2 linked regions of the Oryzias latipes genome follow. The protein of the gene in region 2 purifies or fractionates together with the protein of the main gene of each other region. This does not show direct contact. Links are inferred from orthologs where the notes say so. Each region holds a gene or a part of one and is shown on either strand. Other genes may lie near its edges.

The links.
Region 1: the proteins of polr2b (region 2) and gpn3 purify together in Homo sapiens (co-immunoprecipitation; 3 studies listed by BioGRID and IntAct, counting the BioPlex papers as one, with this or other methods). This does not show direct contact. The link is inferred for Oryzias latipes from reciprocal best matches to the Homo sapiens genes POLR2B and GPN3.

Annotation. Positions count from the first base shown.
Region 1 is NC_019870.2:16,801,120-16,805,263, reverse strand, and holds the start of gpn3 (GPN-loop GTPase 3), read left to right. Parts: upstream 1-1,287; 5' UTR 1,288-1,402; coding exon 1,403-1,450; intron 1,451-1,606; coding exon 1,607-1,715; intron 1,716-3,949; coding exon 3,950-4,117; intron 4,118-4,144. UniProt on the Homo sapiens protein: Small GTPase required for proper localization of RNA polymerase II (RNAPII). May act at an RNAP assembly step prior to nuclear import.
Region 2 is NC_019868.2:3,851,879-3,855,973, reverse strand, and holds the start of polr2b (DNA-directed RNA polymerase II subunit RPB2), read left to right. Parts: upstream 1-1,231; 5' UTR 1,232-1,347; coding exon 1,348-1,366; intron 1,367-2,476; coding exon 2,477-2,549; intron 2,550-2,850; coding exon 2,851-3,001; intron 3,002-4,095. UniProt on the Homo sapiens protein: Catalytic core component of RNA polymerase II (Pol II), a DNA-dependent RNA polymerase which synthesizes mRNA precursors and many functional non-coding RNAs using the four ribonucleoside triphosphates as substrates.

The sequences.
Region 1 (4,144 bases), on a different chromosome or scaffold from region 2:
AAGGTAGTTCCTGAAGTGAAACTATTTCATATCACGTAAATCGAAAGCACTGACGAAAATTAACATGAACGTGTTTCAGACAGCAAAAAAAAATACAACAAAAAAAGAAAACATTTGTTTTAAAAAATAGAAAAACAAAGACTTGCCATAGTTAGTAGTAGTAGTAGTACCTGCTAAGAAGTCCACCGTCACGCGGTAATGTCTGTACACAAACTTGGCCTGTTAACTCCATTCACTTCCTCGAAACATACTATTAATTTAAGCGCCTGATGAAGGACGCAATCAACAAACTTGGTGAGCAGGAAGGCTTGCATACGTTTCCAAATTTCACCTGATCATCGCATGTTGATGCAGTCACTTTCTACTTCTTACTCAATTTTGGTGGTTTCGTTTGTTGACAGCAAAGATCCCTGGGGCTCTACCGCTCCCTAACGGCCAGTTTGTGAACAACTTATTGTCATGATCTTTGCTTTAAGTTTCATGGTTATCGTGGTCATATCATAGGCAGTTTAAACGACTTGTTCAAATAAATACATATGGTTTTAATAAAGCAATTTTAAAGTTAAAGAGCAAAATTTTTCATTTCCTGGGGAAACTTAAAAAAATGCCACAACTGACACTGCCACAGAATTTGCGACTCAATGGTAATTGACACACAAAAAGAAAACAATTGTTGCACAGTATTTTCCTCACTATATTGGTTCAATGCTCATCATCAGTACATTCGTATGGAAGATTTCTGTAGTATATTTTAAAATGAAAGTCAATACCAGAAATGCTTTTTCAATTTTTAAAATGAAGCTGCATTTGTAATAATTTATAATAAAAAAAAAAACAATCCGACCAAACCACTTTTTCTTTTTCTTCTTCTTCAACACAGCTCATTCTGTCACTTAATTAAAATGAGAAAGAAAATGGTATTCGACATTTTTTACTAAATGTGTAGCATAATGTAATTAGAAATATCTTCTTTGATCATCAAAGTTTATTAACAGAAATGCTTTTTCATTTTGAAAATGTAACTGCATCAAGTGAATTAAAAAATAAAATTACAAACGAATGAGCCAATCTGCTTTTCTTTTTCTTCTTCAACACCGCTTATTCTGTGGCATAATTAAAGCGAAAATGCAAAGATGGGATTGCATTTTTGTTTTCACATCCACCGTGCGAAAGGTGTAATAATTCATCACCAGTTCATTCCATTGTGGCTCTTTTTCAGACCACTGTCACCCTGACTTCCATTTCCTCTTTTGATCAGTAGGTGGCAGTAATGAGCCTGACCGTAAATCATCTACCGGAGAAGAAGAAGTAGCGTCATCACACCGATGCGTATGGCATTACAAGCTAGCGTCTGTGGTTAAAGATACTTAAGATCTTTATCACACCGCATTTTTCAGAGAAAATGCCTCGCTATGCCCAGTTGGTGATGGGCCCGGCTGGTAGCGGAAAGGTATGTTTTCAAAAATGCCACTGGATGGTCTACAGCCTCTTGTCTGTTGTTGCTAACAGTACATGAGGTGGTGTCAGTCACCCAGCGTGTTTTTATTTTGTTATTGTGTTTTGCCATTAATTGTATCTTTTTAAAATATTATTATTAATATTTCAGAGTACGTACTGCTCCACCATGACCCAGCATGCAGAGGCTTTGAACCGCTCAGTTCAGGTGGTCAACCTGGATCCAGCAGCAGAACACTTTAATTACCCTGTTATGGCAGGTTAGTATGCTCAAAATGAACCGTTTGTGTCTCCAAATATGAAAACAAAAAAATTAAAAAACGATCATGTTGTCATGGTAATCCATCTATGACAGCAGGATGTCCTTTCTGACGTTGGTAAATCCTTGTTAAAGTCTTGAGATCTGTTGAACCTAATTTACTTTTGTTTAAAAAAAAAGTATTTTATTGAATCTTTAAGTTTATATAATAATAATAACAATATTAATAATAATAATAGTGGATTGGATCTTTCTGCGCTTTTCCAGACGCTTAAAGTGCTTATTATGTGTCCATTATTCATTCACTCCTAAGTCATATTATGGATACACCTCAGTATTGAGAGATAGAATGTTACAAATTAAAGACTTCATTTGTAAAGTGAAGTAGAAAATAAGTATTTGGTCAATATCAAAAGTTCATCTCAATTCTTTTGATAGAGGTCAGACATTTTCATTGGGTCTTCTCTTTTGGTCCATTTCTCCATGTAGATCTCCTCAAGAGCTTTGACGTTACTGAGCATCACAGACTTTCATCTCCCTCCACAGATTCTCTATTGGATTGAGGTCCACAGTCTAGCTAGACCACTCCAGAGCCTTAAAATGGTTCATATTTTGCCACTTTTGTGTTGCCTAGGCCAGTGTTTTTCAACATTTTTTGAGCCACGGCACACTTTAACCTTGACAAAGACACAGCGGCACACCAGCATCCAAAAAAAAACTCAGTCTGTATTGATCGACAGCCCCCCCCCCCCGCAATCTCACGTGCATTTTTGTGATAATTGGGGCAGAAAAAACAGGAAGTTGCAGCTGTTTTTTCTAAAAGATGAAATAAAAGTTAAGTTAGAAAATTCAAAAACTGTTTCATGTGTGTTTGTTGTGGTTTCAAGACATTTAACAAGGACGACTCATTGTACGCTAAGACGCTGTCCCTTTAACCCAGTGCATCGTGGGAGATGTAGTGTGAAAACTGCCGCAAAAGGGCAGAAGCTTCAATGTTTTGTTCACTTGTTCCACGGTCTGACACCGGATTCTGTGGAAAGCTACACCGCTAAAGACGACCTTTGGCTGGTATTTTTGTTAGAACCGAGAGACTTTATGAGCTAAATCGGGACAAGGAAGTGAAGACTTTAACCACTTCTGATTGGTCAGACTGATGACATGTGATTAAACCTTCAAGAATGATTGGCGGAGACAGTTAAAGGGGCGGGACTTTTCCTAAAACAGCTAAAGCTGCAGCCAAATCGCGGTACCGTCATTCTTATCAAAATGTCTTTAATAGAATCAAATAAACACAAAGAAAAAATAATTTTGTGATCTTTTATATTCCTAACTACTCAGTGTTTTATCAGGGCCTGTTTGGATGAACACAGAGCTGATTTCCTGGAGATGGGAAATGTTTTTAGATCAGTTAATGAGGGCAATTTCCCACGGCACACTGGACCATCTCCCACGGCACACTAGTGTGCCGCGGCACACTGGTTGAAAAACACTGCTCTAGGCAATGTGTTTGAGATTTTTGTCATGCTGGAAGATCCAGGCACATTTCATCCTCAGTACTCCCACTGAAAGAAGAAGTTTTCTTTTGCCCAAAATCTCTCCATTCATCCTTTTCGTAACAAGGATCAGTTGTAATGTCCAGTGAGCAGAAACACAGGCCCAATTCATGATGTTTCCACCCCCATGCTTCACAGTAGGTAATGTGTTCCTGGGATGTGAATTGGCGATCTTTCGCCGCAAAAAACTGCAAGTGGCGTTGATGCCAAAGAGTTCCATTTTTGTGTAGTTCTGGGCGGTTTCCTCATCGTTCTCAAGATCATATAGCAAACAGGTGACGTTAACACAGGAAACATGGAAGAATTTCTTAAAGAAGTAACAGGTCTGTGAGGGACAGACATCCTGGTCGTTTGTAGGAGATAAATACTTCTGTGGTACTTTTTGCACCACTGAATAAATAAATGATTTCAAAATCCTAAAATACAATTTCTTGGATTCTTTTTTTTTTTATTGTCTCTCTCACGGTTGAAGTGTATCTAGCTATGATGAACTTTAGAGACCTCTACCATTTTTAAGTAGGACAGCTTGCAGAATCGGTGGCTGACAAATACTTTTATCGCCCGTCGTTGAAATTAGAAGCAAAAGTAGATGATTAGTGAAAAGTGAGATCCTGCGAAGGTTGTTTTTTTAAGTCCGTTTCCAGGAATTAATGCCTTGTGTTTTTTTTTTTTGTGCTTTCAGACATCCGGGAGCTCATCCAGGTGGACGATGTCATGGAGGATGACTCTCTCAGGTTCGGCCCCAACGGAGGCCTGGTGTTCTGCATGGAGTACTTTGCTAACAACTTCGACTGGCTGGAGGAAAGCTTAGGTCACGTGGAAGACGATTACATACTGTTCGACTGCCCAGGTAAAAGCCTCAGCTCGGTTTCTGCAG
Region 2 (4,095 bases):
ACAGTTCTAGCTAACCCAGATTATCTACAAAGATTAGAATTGTTCTGTAGGTGTTGGGAGGGGGATTAAAAGCTGCAACAATAGGACCGTTTGTGATGACTAAGCTTTTCCTCATCAAAGACTCCATTCACTGATGGTACAGAAAATAGATCGTTATAAAACTCTGGTTTTACATAAAATTCCCAACAGTACTAGAAAAAATAAAATCTCATTTTTAGACAATCTTTCAATCAATAGAAGAGTTTCTGCTTTTCCCTCCACTATGTAGCAGAGGGTTGTAACACTTACAGGCTACGTCTGTTTCAGATGGATCTGGATTTATACGTTATTTGGGTTCTACCATCTTCTTTTTTACAGAAACACCTTAAAACCTCTGATAGTGAACTTAAATAATGTTAGGAAAACGGATCAGATGTAAAACCTGCTGCATCTCTGCTCATGTTTTACTAAAAGCTTCACTTTCTGGATGTTTGTCAATTTGTTCAAATTTACTGTTAATTTTAATCAAACATACTTAAAATCCTTTCAAAAAAGTCCTGTGACTTCATTATTTTCTAATCAACACAGAGGAAAGGCTTCCGGCAGGAAGTGAAGTCCACTTGGCCTCTTGTTAAACTGCAGTGATTATTTTTTTATAGTTAATTTTATGATTCATTTTAAGTATTGAAATCATGGAATTATACAATAAAGAACAGAAATCCAAAATTTAAACAGATTAAATCCATTTCAGATAAAAAGTAATAATTGATAAGAAAAAAGATGTAATGAGATGATGCTATCATATTGACAGTGTGTTTATTCATAATTATAAATAGATGCTTTGCATTAATGCATACAGAACACATGCACGTTACATTAGACCATTAAGATGCACTACCAAGCGTCATTGATTATCAACAAAAACATTAGTTATAAGTTCACACATCCTTATATTTGGGATTTACATGAACACAAAATGACCTGTAAGTCCTCTCATCTCCATATTGAGAAACAAAAGTTTCCTTCTACAATTTCTTGAATTTATGGATATTTAAACATTGTAAGTTGAACACTGATTGAAGGGAAAACCTAATGATATTAGAGTAAAATGTTAAGTATCTATAGTTAGCTTTGATGTCTGATTTATTATTGTTACATTTGTTTTACTAACTGCACTTCGCACACTGCTGTTCTTGGCCTCAACCGCAGGGGGCGCTGTCACAGCAGATGACCGCCAAACACCGGAAACCCCGCAGAAAAAGAAGAAGTGTTTCCGGGTCTCTGTGTCAGGCTGCGCGCCGCTTCTCCGTGTTTTTGTCTTCTTTTTTCTGAAGCCGTCTTTGTTTTGAGGGATTTTCGGAAGCCATCATGTACGACCAGGACGAAGGTGAGGCGCGGATTCCACGCAGCGCCGTTAGAGCTGCGCGTGAACGCTCACGCATGGCGAACGTCTCCTCCATCCATGATCATGATGTTCCATGTTGTTCAACCAAAACCTGTCTGAAGCTTCTTTGCATGCAGCAAGTTTCTGGAACCGGACTTTCTGTAGTTGAACAGACTCTTAAAACCGAGACGCACGTAGTAACCAGGGGGGAAAAACACGCGTGGAAAACGAGCAGACTAGGAAACACGCAAATAACTTTAGTCAGTCCGGCTGGGGGGAAACATTAGCACTTTGTCGCGATATTTTGAAGTATTTTATGCCAAACCAGAAATGTTTGTTCACCAATATGGTCATCATTGAATAGTTGGAGAATTGAAGAAGAAGAAGACTGTTTTCTGGGAATGGGCCCACCACCCTCCCTGGTCAGTGGGATGCTGTGGGAGGTGACTGCCGTGCAGGAGCAGCGCCGCTCCACAGCAGCAGGAGCAGCAGCTGAGTGGCTTTAACATCTGTTCAGTCTGTTTGTTAACCTGTAAACACGCTCACTGATTCTGGTTAAGTGACTGTCCGAATAATCCAAATCTACAATTCCAAAATCCAGATCGCTAGAAATTTCCCAGAAGTCTCTGCGAAAAACCAGTGTGCCTTGATGGTCACTTGATTGGTGAATTTGGACCACAATGCATTGCGTTTGAACAATTTTTCATTTGAAAAAAAAGTATTTAAAGGAATTTCTATTAACCATCATCATGATGATGATGATGGTCATCATCAAACATGTTCAGATTTACGTCATAAAATGTCATATTTGCCATAAAAGAAAAGCAGTAAACATGGCTTTAATTGGCTTTAATAACCAGGGCAATAGATAGTTTTTTAAGTAGTTAGGATGTAGAGAAGGAATATGAACATAAACCCTCACTCCCTCTGTCATGATAACACAGTCATATACAAACAAACCTTTATTTGCAGTCCAGACCGATGACGGACACCCACCAAACTAACTAGAGCGTAACCCTAAGGAACCAACAGCTCAGTGTTGATGACCAGCTGCTGTCAGTTACCTTTAATGTCTTAGTGTGGATGTGGCCTCATCATTTCTGTGTCTGTTAGATAACCAGTATGATGAAGACGATGATGAAATCACCCCAGATCTGTGGCAGGAAGCATGCTGGATCGTCATCAGGTAAGCTCACCTGTCAGGCCCACTGTGACAAAACATGAGTGGGTTTCTGCTGCCGCACACGCAGCAGTCACGCAGTCACCAGAGCGTTCTGCATCAGAAACCCAAACTGCTGTTTAGATAGAGTTCAATAAAAAACAAAGGAAAAGTTGAACCTTTTTCTGATCATCTTTTACACTTTAAGCCTCTTCAGTCATCTCTTTTAATCATCGGTTCTGTGAGTTTCTGGTGCAGGATGTGACGCAGACGGTTCTGATCCGCTGCAGCTCTCCGAGCTCTTCCTGAACTGCTGTCTGTTCTGCAGCTCGTACTTCGATGAGAAGGGTTTGGTGCGGCAGCAGCTGGACTCCTTCGATGAGTTCATCCAGATGTCCGTGCAGAGGATTGTGGAGGACGCGCCTCCCATCGACCTGCAGGCTGAAGCACAGCACACGTCAGGGGAGGTGGAGGAGCCGGTGAGTCTGCGTTGGCTGGTTTGGGCTGCAGGTCCTTCAGTTTTAGTAGGAGCTTCTGATTTTTATGCCACATCAGGGCTCCAGACTAACTTTTTTCACTAGGAGCACTGTGGCCCCTAACTGAAAATTCTAGGGGCGCATACCGTAAATCAACATGCTAACCAAATCTATTCATTTCCACTGTATTACTAATAAATACTTTAATAATAGATGCAGAAATTAAAATGTGCTGTTTCAAATTCAGTGTCACATTTTATTCTTCACTTTTGAAGATGCAACAAGAAGGTAAACTGACAGCACCATCGCTGTCATGACAGTACAAATAGTAAAGAAAACAGATGGAAATTTATCTTTGTGACACCAAATAGGTGCAGCCAAGATGCACAATAAGTGTGTTTGAGATCACCCAGGTGAACTCAACGCTGCACAGATCACCTGGTGTGAGACATATATTTTTGTTTTTGCTCCAACATCAACTGTCAATCATCACAAAAATATCGCGAGAAAGGGGTGGGAGCAAGGGGCAAACCTACCCGGACACAGCTGGAAACTAGAGACTACAAAACAATGCATTATGGGACATGTGTCCTGATGGTTTTTGTAGTGGAGTGATTAATTAAAATAATTTAAAATACCAATTCATTAAAAAGGCTACATACATCACAAAACATTAAAATAATCATAAAATATATAATAACACAGATCATACTAAGGGGGAGAAGAATATTAAAACTAAATTGAATGTTAAGGACAACTCCAACTGTTGTCCTTCAGTCTTGCTGCAGATTCGCCTTCATCTCACAGTGCCCCCCCCCCCCCCCCCCCCCCCCCCCCCCCCCCCCGCCTGGTCTCCCTAACGATCCAGGCGAGGTGCCGGTTCATCTCAAACACGTCTATCGTTGCATTTTCCCCACGTATTTTCAGTGTGTCTAAAACTAATCTTGTTTTTGCTCGAGCGTGTTTAAAGTTCAAGCCCCGTTAGCTGTCACGCATGTAGGTGTGGGACATTTATTCTCCTCAGCTGACCCGAGTCCCGCGGGACGGGAGCGGTGTGCTGCCGTAACCCGTTTGATGCACCGCCGTGACCGTAACCA